Linked DNA regions of Lytechinus pictus. The protein of the gene in region 1 binds, or shares a complex with, the protein of each later gene. Links are inferred from orthologs where the notes say so. Each region holds a gene or a part of one and is shown on either strand. Other genes may lie near its edges. The genes, in order: mediator of RNA polymerase II transcription subunit 23-like and mediator of RNA polymerase II transcription subunit 20-like.

Evidence for each region.
Region 2: mediator of RNA polymerase II transcription subunit 23-like (region 1) and mediator of RNA polymerase II transcription subunit 20-like share a complex: the UniProt entries of both Drosophila melanogaster proteins name them as parts of the mediator complex. The link is inferred for Lytechinus pictus from reciprocal best matches to the Drosophila melanogaster genes MED23 and MED20.

Annotation. Positions count from the first base shown.
Region 1 is NC_087261.1:120,984-128,979, forward strand, and holds the start of mediator of RNA polymerase II transcription subunit 23-like, read left to right. Parts: upstream 1-4,768; 5' UTR 4,769-4,863; intron 4,864-7,996. UniProt on the Drosophila melanogaster protein: Component of the Mediator complex, a coactivator involved in the regulated transcription of nearly all RNA polymerase II-dependent genes.
Region 2 is NC_087247.1:67,256,288-67,264,280, reverse strand, and holds the start of mediator of RNA polymerase II transcription subunit 20-like, read left to right. Parts: upstream 1-4,894; 5' UTR 4,895-4,916; coding exon 4,917-5,053; exon of another isoform or gene 5,054-5,463; coding exon of another isoform or gene 5,464-5,594; intron 5,595-7,993. UniProt on the Drosophila melanogaster protein: Component of the Mediator complex, a coactivator involved in the regulated transcription of nearly all RNA polymerase II-dependent genes.

The DNA.
Region 1 (7,996 bases):
ATTTTATGCTATTAATGATCGCAAAAGAGTCCCCGACAAAGTTCATCGGAAAAAACAAAGGTTCGAAAAAACAAAGAAATACAAGTTTAAAAAATAAAAAATACATAAAAAATTATATTTTTTGCAAGTTTTTGTGGATATTTGTTATAAAGGTAAAGATTGATACTCTCACCAAAAATTAGCATTCTACTAGCTTAATGAATTGATTTAAAGGCAAAAACATACAAAATTTTAATAGGGCAAATTTCATATGCTTATTTGCATAATTAATTAATAAATAATATAAACAGTTAATTTTTGTCAAGTAACTTTGATGCAGAAGTACAAGAAATTGCTGATAGTACACTTAATTGCATGTAAAATCAAACGCACACAAATAAGCGGAAATCTACTACACAGTTGGCTGGCATGAGTGGCTGTATAATAGAAAACATAAAGTTCAACAAATCCACTTTTAATATTTTGAACTTGAAAAAAATAAAGCAAATATGCTGAAACCATGTAATATTACGGTTGTAAGTAGTTTAAGTATAATTCTTAATTGACCATGCAGTGTTCCAACTTACCCCATACCATGTTCCAACTTACCCCGATGTAGGGTAAGTTGGAACGCTTGCGATAGTCTTTTTCAAGGTGGATTTTTTTTCAGTAACCATCATAGATTTAAAAATTTTATGGGGTACATTTGAAGCCCTTAGATATATGCTTCAAGCTGATATATTGATTGTTTCTCAAATAAAGTCTAGGCCTATTTGGATTTTACAGCCATTTTTGTCCAAAATGTTCCAACTAACCCCGGTCTCCCCTACTTTCCATAATCTTTTCTTTAATGAACTTATCTTCATTTGTAATGATTGCGATGGATTCGTAAGCTATAGGCCTAATCTGTGTCTTAAATTCAATTAGCTATTTTGTTACTGCAGATTTTTTGTTTTGTTTCACTGTTTCACATCCCAAGTTAGCCCAAATCCGACAATTAATTTTCATTGATTAAAATTAATCTCAGCAAAAAAATAATAATTATAATGGAAATGAAATAAAAATGAATAAATGATTTACCATTAACATTTTAGTTTTGTATCGTGTTTTTTTTTGCTGAACGCTATAAACACGTTTTTTACCTTATATAGGCCCTAATTTCTTTTAAAGAAATTTATTTTCATGTTGTTTAATAGATAAAGAGACAGCATGAGGGGTCAGAGAGATAGTGCCGCCCATTTCGATATTTCAAAAAAAAAATTAATGGAAATGGTGTGGGGATAGGACAGGGGAGAATAAAAGAAAACATATTCAAAAAAAATATTTGGGCCTACATTACCCCCGGACATAATACCCCGAAGAAGTTAAAATGACATCCGTTTTCGGTCGTCTTGCCATGCAAAAAGACGACCTGAAATTGATGACAACTAGCCCCCAATAAAAAATAACTTGGCACCATCCCAGATAAAATGAATCAATGAACCTTCTTGAACCTTCTGAAGTTTGCACCGGCAGGGCAGTAGACTGCAAATGGCCAGCGTGCTGCTCACGTGTGGGTTAGAGTGTTGCTCTAAAAAAACAAACCAAAAAATGTTTAAAGGTGATGTCAGTGTGGCTTGCCGTAAACGCATTTTCTCTCAATGCCGACGGTGGCGGGCGGTGTGCAAAGAAGATCATGCCTACGTAGGACATGTTAGTATACTATTCTACCTGCACTGGAACTGTGTATGTTAGCTGCAGTATACTTACACAAGTTTCATTATTGAAGGGAAAAATCAAACATTTGAAATATCTTGGTACACACATTCCATATTATAGCAACTCATCAGCAACTTTGGATAATGACAAACCTTGGATGACACCACAGATAAAAGCAATCATAATTGAAAGAGAAAAAGCTTTTGAGAAGAATAACAAACCTCTGTGGCGTAGTCTCAGAAATAAAGTAAATAGAATGATAAAAAGTGCAAAAAAACGTTATTATAACACACGTGTATCTCATCTTAAATCAACAAATCCAGCAGACTGGTATAAACAAATCAAGATTATTACAAAAAAGAACAACACATCTAACGTAATTGCTGTACCTGGTGTTGAACCTAATGATAAAGATCGTCAAGAGAAGACTGCTGATACCATTAATAAACATTTAATTAATATAGCATCAGATTTGGCGCCGTTGGATAGAAGTTGCTTACCAGCTTTTTTACCTTCTCCTTGTGTTTGCCCAGAAGTACAACCTTATCAGGTTTATTCTATGCTAAAGAAAATAAAATGCAGTAAAGCAGGTGTAACAGATGACTTACCCCCTCGTGTAATTCGTGAATTCGCTTGTGAACTAAGCCATCCTCTTGCCAATATCCTTAATACATCATTTCAACAAGGGTTAGTACCTTGGCAGTGGAAGCGAAGTCAGGTTGTTCCCATTCCCAAGTCAAAACCACCGAATATTAAAGAACTTCGACCTATATCTCTTACATGTCAATTCGCTAAAATTGCAGAATCATTCATTACGAAATGGTTATTGGAAGATATTTCTAAATATATTGACATTCATCAATACGGAAACAGACAAGGTCTGTCAACTACCCATTATTTGGTAAAATTATTGCATTGTGTATTGGACAACTGTGAAAAATCTAAATCAATATCCACTATTGTTTGCACAGACTTTTCCAAAGCCTTCGATAGACTTGACCATAATATTCTGATTCGAAAATTAATTGAATTTAACGTAAGACCTTGCATAATTGAGTGGATAGTTAGTTTTTTAGAAAATCGTTTTCAATCTGTTAAATATCAGGGTGTATTGTCGTCGTATATTAAAAATCATGCTGGAGTGCCTCAAGGCACAAAATTAGGCCCGATATTATTTTTGATCATGTTTAATGATGCATGTCAGAATGAATCTTTACCGCACTTTAAATATGTTGACGATCTTACTATAGTTGAAAATCGTTCAATACAAACTCCTTCTGTATTACAATGTCATCTCAATGCACTCGTTACCTGGTCATCTGATAATCATATGAAACTAAATCCGAATAAATGCAATGTAATCAGAGTTACTTTTTCTAAAAATCCACCATTACCTAATCTATTGCATATTGGTGACACTTCTCTGCAATATTCAGAAACTGTTAAAATACTTGGTGTCTATATTCAGTCAAACTTAAAATGGGATAAACAAATTTCAGATATTATAAAAAGGTGTAACAAAAAATTGTATATGTTCAGACTTGTCAAACAATATAAACTCCCTATGTCAGACCTTGTTCAAATTTACATTGGATATATTCGTCCAATATTGGAGTATTGTGTACCGGTATTCAACGGAGCACTAACTGCTAAACAGGTAAAAGACTTAGAAAAAATACAAAAAAAGAGTTTGCAAAATAATTCTTGGCTCAGATTATATAGACTATGAAGATGCACTAACAAAATGTGGATTAGAATGTCTTGAAAGAAGACGAAAAAAACTGTGTATGGAATTTGCTAAATCTCTTTTAAAAAACCCTCACTGTAACAACTGGCTACCAAAAAGAAAAAATATCTCAATCTCATTAAGAAGTGTTCCAAACTTTGCTCAGATAAAATGCAAAACAGATCGTTTTAGAAAAAGTGCAATACCTTATTTCATTGATTTACTAAATTCTAAATAAATTTCTACTTTCATACCCTTGAAGTCAACTTAAATCTTTGCCATTGTTTTAGTCTCCATTTCAATCCAATTGATATTTGAATTTTTAATTGTCTAATATTCATCACTTTTAATATTGTATTTACATAGTTTCTTTACCATTCTATTTTATTATATTTAATGAATTTTTATGTACACTTGCTCTTTAAAAATTATTTATTATTTATGTACATTACAGTACATGTTTAAATTGTAATTGTTGCTTTTATCCATGACTTGTGAACATTTTATTGTAAACATGCTAACTTCAGCCTTCTGGCTGTGTAACATGTATTGTTTTTATACGAAATAAACCATGATTGAATTGAATTGAATTGAATCTCGCAATATGTGTGAGTGGTCTGGAGGTGTCTTTCCAAGGACCATTCTTTGTATCGCCCAAATCGCCTTTGTGAAACAGTTGAGCGATATCTCGTTCTTACGTAGAATGGTTCTACGAAAGACCCTTTCAATGCAACAGGCCCCTGGTGATATCTAGCGGAATTAGTTTCGGCTAACAATTATTCGCGTTATATGAAGCTATGTTAACAGACAACTCTTGGCATGCTTGGTTTGCGTAGCCGTAGTCTCGTACTTCGTAGACATGTTCACCATGTTCACAGACAGTGCGAGGCCGAGGTTAGAAATAGTAATTATAAATTAGTATACTTACTAACCTCGCAATACGTGTGAGTGAGACACTAAAGTTAGTGAGAGTAGGCCAGCGCCATTATTATAACCTCGTTCGTAGGATGAGTGGCCAGGACCTAACTAACGTTAGATAACTTAGAATAACTTAAGACCAAGAGTTAAAACTTAGATAATTATAACAACATGAAAAAGCATGTGTGGGGCTGTAAAATTGGGCCACTCCACTCCCACCTCATCTGGAATAAAACGGGATATGGATTTTCGAGAGTACAAATAGCCATATGACATGTATGAGTTGGAAAAAAAAATATGATGAATAGGATATTCAAAAGGGGTTATTAAATGGTATAATTTTGTAATTCTCACCTCACCTCTAATTATAATTTAACAAGATCAAACGGCCCGAGCTCGGATCCAACGAAGATGGCGCTATAGTAATTCAATTCTGTGTATGTTTATGAGGCGAAGTTCAACGGTGGCGCTGGCAGTGCAGTGGCGAAAAGCGTCTTTGTTTTCCGACTTTTCCAGCCCAGATTCTTTTTACTTTTGTTCATGTGAGTTCCAACAATTTGTAATTTCTTATTACTGAGGCGTAACATAGATTCACGTACCTTACGGTACCGGTATGTGGTCTGTACTTTTTATCTTTAAATAAAAAATGAAACTTTTTCAAGTTCAACTCCTTTCTTAGTCCCATTCATTCAAAATCGTGCATTGAAAATTCGAGTTGCTTGTTTTGTATGAGTGTCCACCCCCCACCCGGGCCGCGTATTTTTTATTTACACCACTGCTCCGCCAAAATCCACAAAAATACGAAAGGAACGGCTCGCGGGCAAGTCTAATCTGTGCGCTCAAGCAATGCAAAGCTCTCGGATCGTTCTCGCGTGAGATTTGTGTTAAGTTCTCATTTGTATGAAGTTGATTATAGCCACTCCTAGTATGGTAAGACCACCTCTTTTGAAACCGACCACCTTGCGCGCGTTAAAATTATTGCGTATTACAAACGATACGCGCGGGAGAGTAGGCGCAGTGTCCATAGAAACGGTAAGAATCGATTTTACGAGAAAAAAAGAAGCAACAAACAGTAAAGATTTAGTAGAATTAATCAAAATTGTATTGACCAAACCCAAAACCCGCTGAAAAACCAAGAAATCCGATAGGAAACGGCTTTAGAACAAATATCCGTCGTCAATCGTCGAATCATGCGTCGGAGCTCGCAGTGGAAGTAGTGAGGCGATCATTTAGCATGTTGACGTCACTCATAGAACTGATTTGAAAGAGTAAAAATATTTCGCCACCGCGACAAGAATCGGCCGTAAACTTAGTGTACCGCGGGTGGTCGGTTTCAAAAGACGGGTGCAAATGAGCAAATGGAAAATCGTCGCATTCGTTGATCGTCGATATATACGCAAATTGAATCGGAGTCGCCGAGCGAAACATGGGAATCTGATCTGCTCAATTTTCTGCACAAATGAGACGAAAACTGGGTAAAATTGATGAATATTTTCGCAGATATGATGCTTAGAAGATTAGGTGGTCGATAAGGGGTAGTTCCAACCATACCAATGAGGTCCAAACATTAAGATGTATGGACCTCATAGGCGACATTACCCAAATTATGGGTTGGACAATGCTGTTCTGATTTCCAACCCAAGACTTTGGTAAATGTACACCTTAATACAAGTTAGAGTTATCCGATATACCTTTCATTCGGACGGCAAACCTTTATTTAGTTGTAAAAATAGTTGAAATTAAAATCGATTATTGTTAAACTTACATTTCAGGCCCTTTTTGTTGATTTTCGGTGAGCATTCCACACAGCTGCGACGAGTGATCAACTCCGAAGTGATACGCGTACTGGTCAGCTGATCGGTCAGGTGATCGGTTGGATATCTTTTTGTCAGACGTTCATAATTTATGTTAAGCGTATCAATCTTCAGTATCTTGATTTCAAAGCATCAGTATTGCAGAGAAAAGTCATTATTGATTGGAATCAGTGGCGGGGGGGGGGAGGGGGGGGGTGAGCATTTCTGCCCGTTCCCCCTTTTGAGATTTATAGTAAACATTTTGGAATTAAATATGTTATTAATACTAGTTATGGGGTGCCCCCCCCCCCCCCTCATGAGAATCACGTACAGCATTATTTGTAATGGGGATATTTCGTTCATATTCTTTTCTCTTTTTTGCCTTTTTTTTTAATTGCCAAATTCAAAATTTTACTGGGAACAAATTAACAATATGACTTTCTATACATCACTTTTAGGGACAAACTTTTTTTTATGGGGGTGGGGGTTGGGGGCTTGCCAAATATAATCAATGGTGGAAAAAATGACCTTCTTTTTAGTGACAACTTTATAAAAAAATTGTCAAATTTTACGCGAGACAAAATGACCTTCGATCATTGCTATAGTTAAAACCTTTTTTTTTTTTTTTTTCTTATTTTTGTGGGGGGGGGGGGGGGCTTGCCGAATATTACGCGGACAAAATGACTTTCATTTTGAGTGACCATTTTTTTTTAACTTGTCAAACTTTACGCAAGACAATATAATGACCGGTTTTTTTTTTTTAGTAAGAATCTTTTTTGGGAGTTGTCAAATTTTACTTTGGATTTCACCAAAAAAAAACGGGATAAGAGAAAAGGAATGAAGGAAGGAAAAGAAAGAAAGAAAGAAAGAAAGAAAGACAGAAAGAGAAAGGGAAGAGAAATAAAAGGCCATAAAAAAGCAAAAGGAAAGAAAAATGCATGCGAGAATAATTCCGAATGTTATGTCAAAATCTATTGCAAAATTGATATTTGTAATAAAAGTGACAAAGGTTTTGCTCGCTCGCCTCTTCATCTGGTAGGCGCGTAGCTAGGGGCGGTGCCCCCCGAAAAGGTCCCTCCCCCCAAAAAAAAATAAGGAGGGAATAGAGAAAATAAAAAGCGAAATGAGAAAAGGGGGATGTATATAACTTAGTTTATAATTGTTTTTCCTTTTTTTGGGGGGAAGGGGTCAAAACATTAACGTTATGTTTTTCTATAAATAGGTCTAATTGCTAAATATCCAGAGTTATCGAGACCCACCTGCTGATATTGCACTGGGGGTACACGATGGAAGGGTTAGGCCTAGGGGCCCCCGAAAGTTCTACAACCAAGATAAAAAAGAAATTAAGGGAATTAATGAAAAGAAAAGGAAAAGTGTAAGTTAAGATATCTATCTCAAATTTAGATTTGCACGAAAAGTTTTTTTCTCGCTTGCTTCACTCGCTTGGAACATATAAAGCAACTTTATTCCCACGCGCCATGTATGCCTACATTGGCCCTCTTTCTTTCTTTTATTTTTTATTTTTTTTACTCATCACGCTACCGTACTGCCACACACGGGTTTGCCCTAATGATCGTGGACAATCATAAAAAATATTATTTTCATACCATGTGACTGGGAAATTTTTGGCTCCACCCCCCCCCCCTCTCGATCCCTGTATCGATTTTGACTTGATAGGGGCCTATACCTGATGGAATTAGCTTCATTCAATATAAAATCATAACGGATAGAACGCCTTGAATACAGGCCAAACAGCCTAACGACATTGCCGTGTCACGTGATAACCAGTATTAAACGAGAATGTGCACAACCCTATGGCGACAAAATTTGCCGCAAAAGTTGAGCAAGTTCTGGACAAAAAGGCTTCAATACCCCAAGAAAA
Region 2 (7,993 bases), on another chromosome or scaffold:
ATTCCATATCTGACCAGAAAAGGGGACCTCGACCGGCTCATTTTAAAAATAAATCGGCTTTTATGAAGACTACACCTGACAGGATCAAATTCATCACTTGAGAGATTAAAAGGGCCATAATTCTTCCGTCAATAAAAACATAGTTCCAAAGTAGTGATATATCTTTCCAATTTGGGAAAAGGAAGTTCAGTAGGTACCCTCCCTAGAATCAGTGTTAGATTGTCAATCATATTCATTCATTTTTGTCAATCAGCAATATAAAATTAAAAAATTGAGCAATGGGTTGGCTCGAATGAATATCTTTGGCCTGGCAGTTGTAATTAGGCCCGTGTGACCCCTGGGGAAGGGAGCTACATAAAAATATGGAACGCTTCACAATTTTGCGTGTCATCCTTGCACAAGGGCCATTCTAATCTTCCTTGCTTTTTATTATTTCATACTTAACAATGTATAAAAAATCGAGTGAGACTTCAAAGATCCTGAAATTTCATGAAATAAAAGACTTTACACAGTCAAGTTCATGTTGATGAAATTCGTTTTCTTTCTACTTTTCATCGATTTGTACTCTTGGTAATCTTCGTGAAAATTGTTACGTTATTGGGATTGTTATCATTATTGTTTACTATGATTATAGTGATATTGATAATGAAATTATAACGTGCACTATCACAATCCTCTCCCTCTTTTCTTCAATATCATACCATAATTATCATCACCGCCTCTCATATTGCAAATGACTGCAGGAACTCAAGTTGCATAGCGCTATCTCTCGTTGATAACGTTATAAAAATCTTATTTCTAAATAATGACTTGTTTGAAATAAGATGAACATCTCTAAAATGAATAGCTAATCCATATCTAATCACTTCTGATCTATCGATTTTAGCACACTTGTTAAATTTTATTTGTTTATTTATTTATTTTATTTATTTTGTTTTATTTATTTTATACTGCAGGGTAGGCCTGTTCAGTTCTTAAAACTGCTTTACAAAGGCGCCCTGCAGTTTAAAATACATGTCAAGATAACTATGAACAACAACAACAAACAACATCAAAAATACAAAATACAAAATATCTAACATCAGAAACAATTAACACCAAAATATAGAGTGGGAAGTGACAATTTAAACATACATAGCATTGTAAATCAAAGGAATATCATTTCGCTCTTTATCAATTCGTATGAAAGGCTTTGCATAATTTTTTTAAAAACTAACAAGGAGGTACAAACTTGTAAATTTGAAGGAAGTGCATTAAATAATTTGGGTCCGACATATGCGAAAGATTTTCTTTTATGTTCAATTCTAGCTTTGGGAAGCTGAAGGGGGCATCGTAAAGAATACCGTGTCCTGTATTTCACGGGCCGTTTACATACTAAAGGTTTTAAATAATTTGGAACTAAATCATTCATTATTTTATATACAAGAACACAATACTGATATTTTATACGCTGATCTACTGATTGCCACTTCAGTGACTGCAACAAAGAAATTTGTGATGTATTATAATCTTTTTTCAAAAGCATTCTGGCATATTTATTTTGAAGTTTTTGTATCTTATCTAAATGTATTTTTGCACTGCTTCCCCAAGATGTAATACAGTAATCAATGTAAGGTAAAACCATAGAAAAGTACAGCTTCTTCATAATATCAAAGGACAGTAAGTGCTTAATCCGCCTTCCACAACCTATATTGCCCGAGATATTTTACAAACGATATTAGTAATATGTTCGCACCAAGTCAAGCCCGGATCGAGCATGACACCTAAGTATTTAATCTTTTTTACATTTTCTAATTGTATGTTTCTGAATTTCACTGACAAATGAGCACCCCTCAACTTTTTCTTTTGACCAAATACCATGGCTTTTGTTTTTTGCGGGTGTAAATGCATATTATTTAAGTCTAGCCAAGTCTAATCCAAAGATGATATAGCGCCATCTGTATAAACATTAAGCAGTAGATAATATTTGTTTCCTTTCATTTAAATCTATCACAAAGGGAATATGGTTTACTAAATTTCACCTTATTTGTTTCATTTTCGCAAGTTAACATTTCATTTCGTTTATTTCCATTTTCAACAATTACAGTTTATTTTGTACATTTTGACATACAAATAACGAAACATATTTCAAGTATCCCAGTACAAAAATTATATTCAATTTCATTACATATCAAGTTGGAAATGGAGGAGGCTGCTAAAAAGCGGAGCTCGTAGAGTGCAGCCTCCTAATAAATATTTTTCTAGTTACATAGCATCATCAAAATAACAACTTGAGCATTAACCAGTTAAATTAAAAAGAAATAGGGGGAAATTAAAATAGAAAAGGAAATAAGAAAAAGAGATATTAAAGGTCTCCAGAATCCAGCATCAACAGGAAAACGAAAGAGATGGAAAAGTGTACGTCACACGATAATCATGTTTGATTAAAAAAATACAAGAGTTTGAGTGATGAAGAGTTAATTCAATGGTTATCTTGGATAATTTTTTAGAACTTATATTTGAAAGAATTTAGGCTTGGTGATTCTTTGATGTTATTATTAATAGTTCCCCAGAGTCTAGGGCCTTCAAAAGTAAAAATTGATTTTGCAAGGATGGTCCGGGGTAGTGGTAAATGGAATTCATCTGATTGACGTGTGGGATATTTGTGAAGAGTTTTGCTAAATGAAGAATTAGATATGGGTGGTAACATATTATTGTTTAACTGATACATGAATTAGTGAATTGTCGGATGATCTAATACTATACATGGTCTACTTATCAGTTCGTCCAACTTCACATAGTCTAAACTCATTTCGTCTACAACCAGTTCGTCTAATTCCCACTTGGTCTAATATCCAATTCGTCTAATTTCCATTTGGGCTAATAACCAGTTGGGCTAATTTCCACTTGGTCTAATATCCAATTCGTCTAATTCCCACTTGGTCTAATATCCAATTCGTCTAATGAGCAGTTGGGCTAAAACCATTTAGTCTAATTTCCAGTTGGTCTAGCACCACTTGGTCTAATTTCCACTTCGGCTAATTTACACTTGGTCTAATTATCATTTTGTCTAATTGCCACATGGTCTAATGACCGTTTGGTCTAATTTCCACTTGGTGTAATTTCCATTTAGTCTAATTTCCACTTGGTCTAATATCCAATTCGTCTAATTCCCACTTAATCTAATAGCCAAATGGTCTAATGACCACTTGGTCTAATCGCCAATTGGTCTAATGACCAGTTGGGCTAATCGTCACTTGGTCTAATTTTCATTTGGTCTAATTCACACTTGGTCTATAATGTCCATTTATTATAATATAGCATCATTCATTATTATTCATTCTATCTAGAATTAGCAAATATGGTACGTAATGGATAAATACCATCCATCAGTTAATACATATCGCCAGGATCCGGAGGGGTAGAGCCGGGGTAGGGCTGGTGGGTGCAAAACCTCACCGTGAAGGACTATCAATGATGAGATAGTCGCTCATCAAAGGAATTATTCTAATCAAATAATTCTTATAATTAGGCCTGTATATCGATTATAAGATGATGAAAATTAAATCATACTCATAATCATTACATCACCGCATGCACATTTACAGAACAATAAGTTGGGGACCTTGTAGCTTATAATGGTCGAATGGCGGGGTTTCATCAGAATAAAATTATTATGAAGAAAGGAACGAAAATATAATGTAATTGATTGTGTGGATACGTATCTGGTAAACATGTTTATGCCTCTTTTAAATCATTGTGATGCACCATTACGGACGATACTTGAACTTGATGGCCTATAGTTATGCAGTTTGGGGGATTCCAAAACTACAAAGCCATTAGATCATGTAATTTTGTATCATGTAAATCTTTAATCTCTTTACAATAGGCCTACATGTACCGGTATATTAATAGTCATCTAAGACGAAGGAGAAGTTGTACACTATGCTGGTTAAGCCTCATCTTAACTACTGTATATGCGTCTTCAGTTTGGGATCCTTACACAACTACAAACATAACAAATCTCGAAAGGGTCCAGAATGCAGCAGCTAGGTTCACCACCAACACTTATGGGCAAGACTCAAGTGTTACTGCTCTGAAGGACTCCTTGGGTTGGATCCCCCTCCAAGAGGAAAGACAGGGTTCCCGAATCACCAGTTCATTCAAGATGATCCATGGTTTAATGGACGTCAACTGCAAGGAATACATCTCTCTGAAGGAAAATCGAGCAAGACGGGGTCATGATCAACAATTCTACATCAAACATGTCAGAACAGATACACATGCAAACTAATTTTTTTCCGAGGACTGTCAAAGACTGGAACCATCTCCCCTCCTCAGTTATATCCCAACCATCCTTAGGAACCTTTAAGCCAGCACTCCAAAAAACCTTGAAAACCGGAACCTTAAGTTGGTGACCGTACACGACACACCTCCAGTTTAAACACCTTTATGGCGTCTTTTGGAGGATTCCTACCAAGTACCAAGTATATGATCTATGTATGCAATACCAGTACTTAGCGTCTTATTAGCAGGTTACCCTTCTCAGTTTGTGTGTACATGTGTGTGTTTTTAGGGAGGGGCAGTACGGGCCTGGGAACCACAAAAAAAAGAAAAAGGTTTCACTACAAAACCCTAAAAAATAACCCAAATAAGGTCTCGTTATGGTCCCAAGAAATTTGACAAGCAAAAAAAAAAAGAAAAAGAAAAAGAAAAAAAAAGGGGGGGGGGGTCACTAAAAATAGGTCCTTTAGGTTGAATTCACAAATTTTCCACATTTACTAGAATTCCAGGGGGTGCTGCATTTAGGAATTAGATAGTTTTCGCATTTATAACGGGGAAACTCTCTACAACGCATAGATTCCTTTGAAAATGCAATTAAAATCACAATGGAGAGCTTCTATATAGGCATTTGTGGAAAGTTGGTGGACTGGGACATGACAGCAGATATGCCGATCATCCGAAGATTTGCGCACCGGACCAACAATTGCAAATTTGTCGTTGATAAGATATTTCGGCGCGCTTCCAAAATACAAAAGGAGAAAAGCTGTTTTGTCATAATGGGAGTAACGTGGTATGTTTTTTGTTGTTGCAATCTTAATAGTTCAAATGAGCCATTGATATTGGGCATGCCTGATATTGCTTTCAACTATCATTTTCACTTTATGAAAGAATTGTGATTAGACCTATCACCTGTAGATGCCCAAGCGGCAAGGACAGGTAGGCCTAGTCGATCGTACGACGTATATTTTGGGTCAGTGTCGCTAAACTAACTTACATGTGCCCATATACTGAATTTCGTGATGTGTGACTGTTAGTGTTGGCGTTGACAGAGCTGAGACTGTCATAGACAGCTGGCAGCCGTCTGTTTCGAGGAGTTTTTTAACTTTTTTTTGTTTGGTGAGTGAAGCCAACGGAGTTCAGCTGAACAACCAACATAACAGAGACCGAAGCTTTAAAGTTTTGGTCTAAGACTGTCACTGCATGTGTCATAGAAGCCATAGAAGTCGTGTGTTGTGGACACCAGAAGTGAGATCCTCGCACTCGCGACCCACTAGTCAGAAATCCACTGCCAAACGCGGTTCATGGTGCGAGGTACTAACCTCGCAATATGTGTGAGTGTCACTGTGTCAGTGTCGCTTTACTTGCTGCATGGTTTTCTTGTGACATCTTCATTAAATTTTAGTGATAGTTATCGTACATCAAGATTTCTTTAATTTTTCAGAGCAATTATGGCCTTATCCTGAAATAAGTCGCCTCTATTCTCGTATGTGTGCGCAGGTTGTGTACAATTTCTACGAAGGTCGAAGTAAAACTCAAGACAAAGTCAAGACAATTGGAGATGAAACTTAAAAGAAGTCACCGCCATTGACGAAATGAACGGCAGTGAATGGAGTGGACTGGTGACTTAAACCAGGATAATGCCGCAATTATCTTATTCATTGGCCAATAATAAGCTTTATCGTGAAAATTTTCAGGCTCTCTTCTCGACCTCGTGTGTCGGTGTGTGTGCACTCGTTGTGCACAAAGACAATGGGAGTGGAATGAAGTCGCCAGCGCTGACGAAATAAATGGCAGTGAATCATGGACTGGTGACTTAAACCAGGATAATGTCATGGAAGTCTATAATATTTTGATTACATCTAGACCTCATTGTTTCAAAATTTGATGTCAAAACTGGTGATTTAATTCTATTCCAAACTGGCTTCAAGACTCTTGACTTTTAATCAACTCATTCATCATGTTCATTGTTTAATATAAATCCTTTGGCTTTGTCACTTTTATCTCCATGTAAGCACGACTTTAATCTAAGCCCATAATTCATTTCAATTTAGAATTTTCTCTTCAATAGAATAATTTATTAATTATTGTACCAAGTAAAATAATGTGCTATCTTCTTGACCATTTTTCTTGGCTTTTTTTTAGAAAACAATGACAATGTTTTTGCCTCTTTCCATCACTTTAAAAAGAAAAAGAAATGCCCTTTAGAATAAATTTTGTGTAATTTTCAAAGACAGTGTATGACATTTTTTCTTCCTCTACATGTGCTAGTTTGGTAATGAATCAATCGATCAATGACTAATATCATAGTGGTGTTGTGGCTCAGTGAATAAGCCTCCGGACTTGGACCCACAAGGTCTGGGGTTCGAATCCCACGGCAGGACTCTCGTCCTTTGGCAAGGCGTTACGTACATTTGCATCTTTCCAACCAGGTGTATAGCAGTGTATCCTATTGCCAGACACCTTTATTTCAGTGCTTTAAACATGACAACTAGAGGAAATACAATCAGGAAAAATTTGCACTTGCTTTTCCAAATATGGAAATTATGAATATGTTAAAATTATTTTATATTTACCAACCGTTTTCTTTGCATCGCACTTACCGCATACCCCTCCACGAAAAACAATTTTTGTGCGTTACAAATTACATCATATTCCGGAAACGCGCTGATGGGTAAAGATATTCTTGATTATAATGATGTAAGAAAGAATTGGTGTGAATTTTTCTTCATATATCATATCATTAGTAAATTCTTATTTGTTCGCTTTTTTATATTGAATCTCAGCAGATGTTAGTAAACAATACGTGTTTGCTAACTAATTTTATTTTGTTGTCTTTTTAACTGCATGTTCCATGCCCCCATGGCACTTTCCAATGTTATGCTCGTTCTTATCGTGACGCTCATCAAGTTCTATTGATGCGCTGATGATTGTCGACGGCTCTTATCATGGTAAACCTCGCTCACGGGTACCTTGAGAACTAGCCGTCGACGATCACCCACAATGTATACATGCCACACCTCAACATTCGATCGAAGGAGCGGACGTGATTGAAATTCGGCAATTCAGGCCCATATTACCATCAGAAAATCTATCAATTGTTAATGCAAAACTATGTCATATGATATTTTAAGCATTTTCTCTCATTTTAGAGTTAAATACCGGTAAGGTAAAAGCTGGATATATTCGCCTTGTTTTTGCAATCTTGTTCTATGTATTCTGTGAAATTGAACTGCGGAAGTCCTAGGTACAAAGTTGTTTTCATATGCACTAATATGCACGTCCAGAATCATGAAAGTGTCCAGTAATACGATACATGACTATAGTACGTGGGTAGGTAGTAGAAAGAAATTCCTTGAATGCTTGAGCGCTTGATACGAGTAGCCGTGCTAATTCGGGTAATAGTATAACAAACTTAGAAACATTGTATTATTAAGTGCTAGAAATGTTGCATAGATTATTATTATTGTGAATTTTAAGAAAGTTTGTACAGTAGTAGACTATTTACAGAATCCTGAGGTCATTGTGGTTTCCTAAAAGGACAAGTCCACCCCAACAAAAAGTTGATTTGAATAAAAAGAGACAAATCTAACAAGTATAACACTGAAAATGTCATCAAAATCGGATGTAAAATTAGAAAGTTATGACATTTTGAACTTCCTCATTTGCATACTGACCAGGATGATATGTGCATACAACTGTTTTGTGAAATTAAGCAAAACTTAAATGTCAT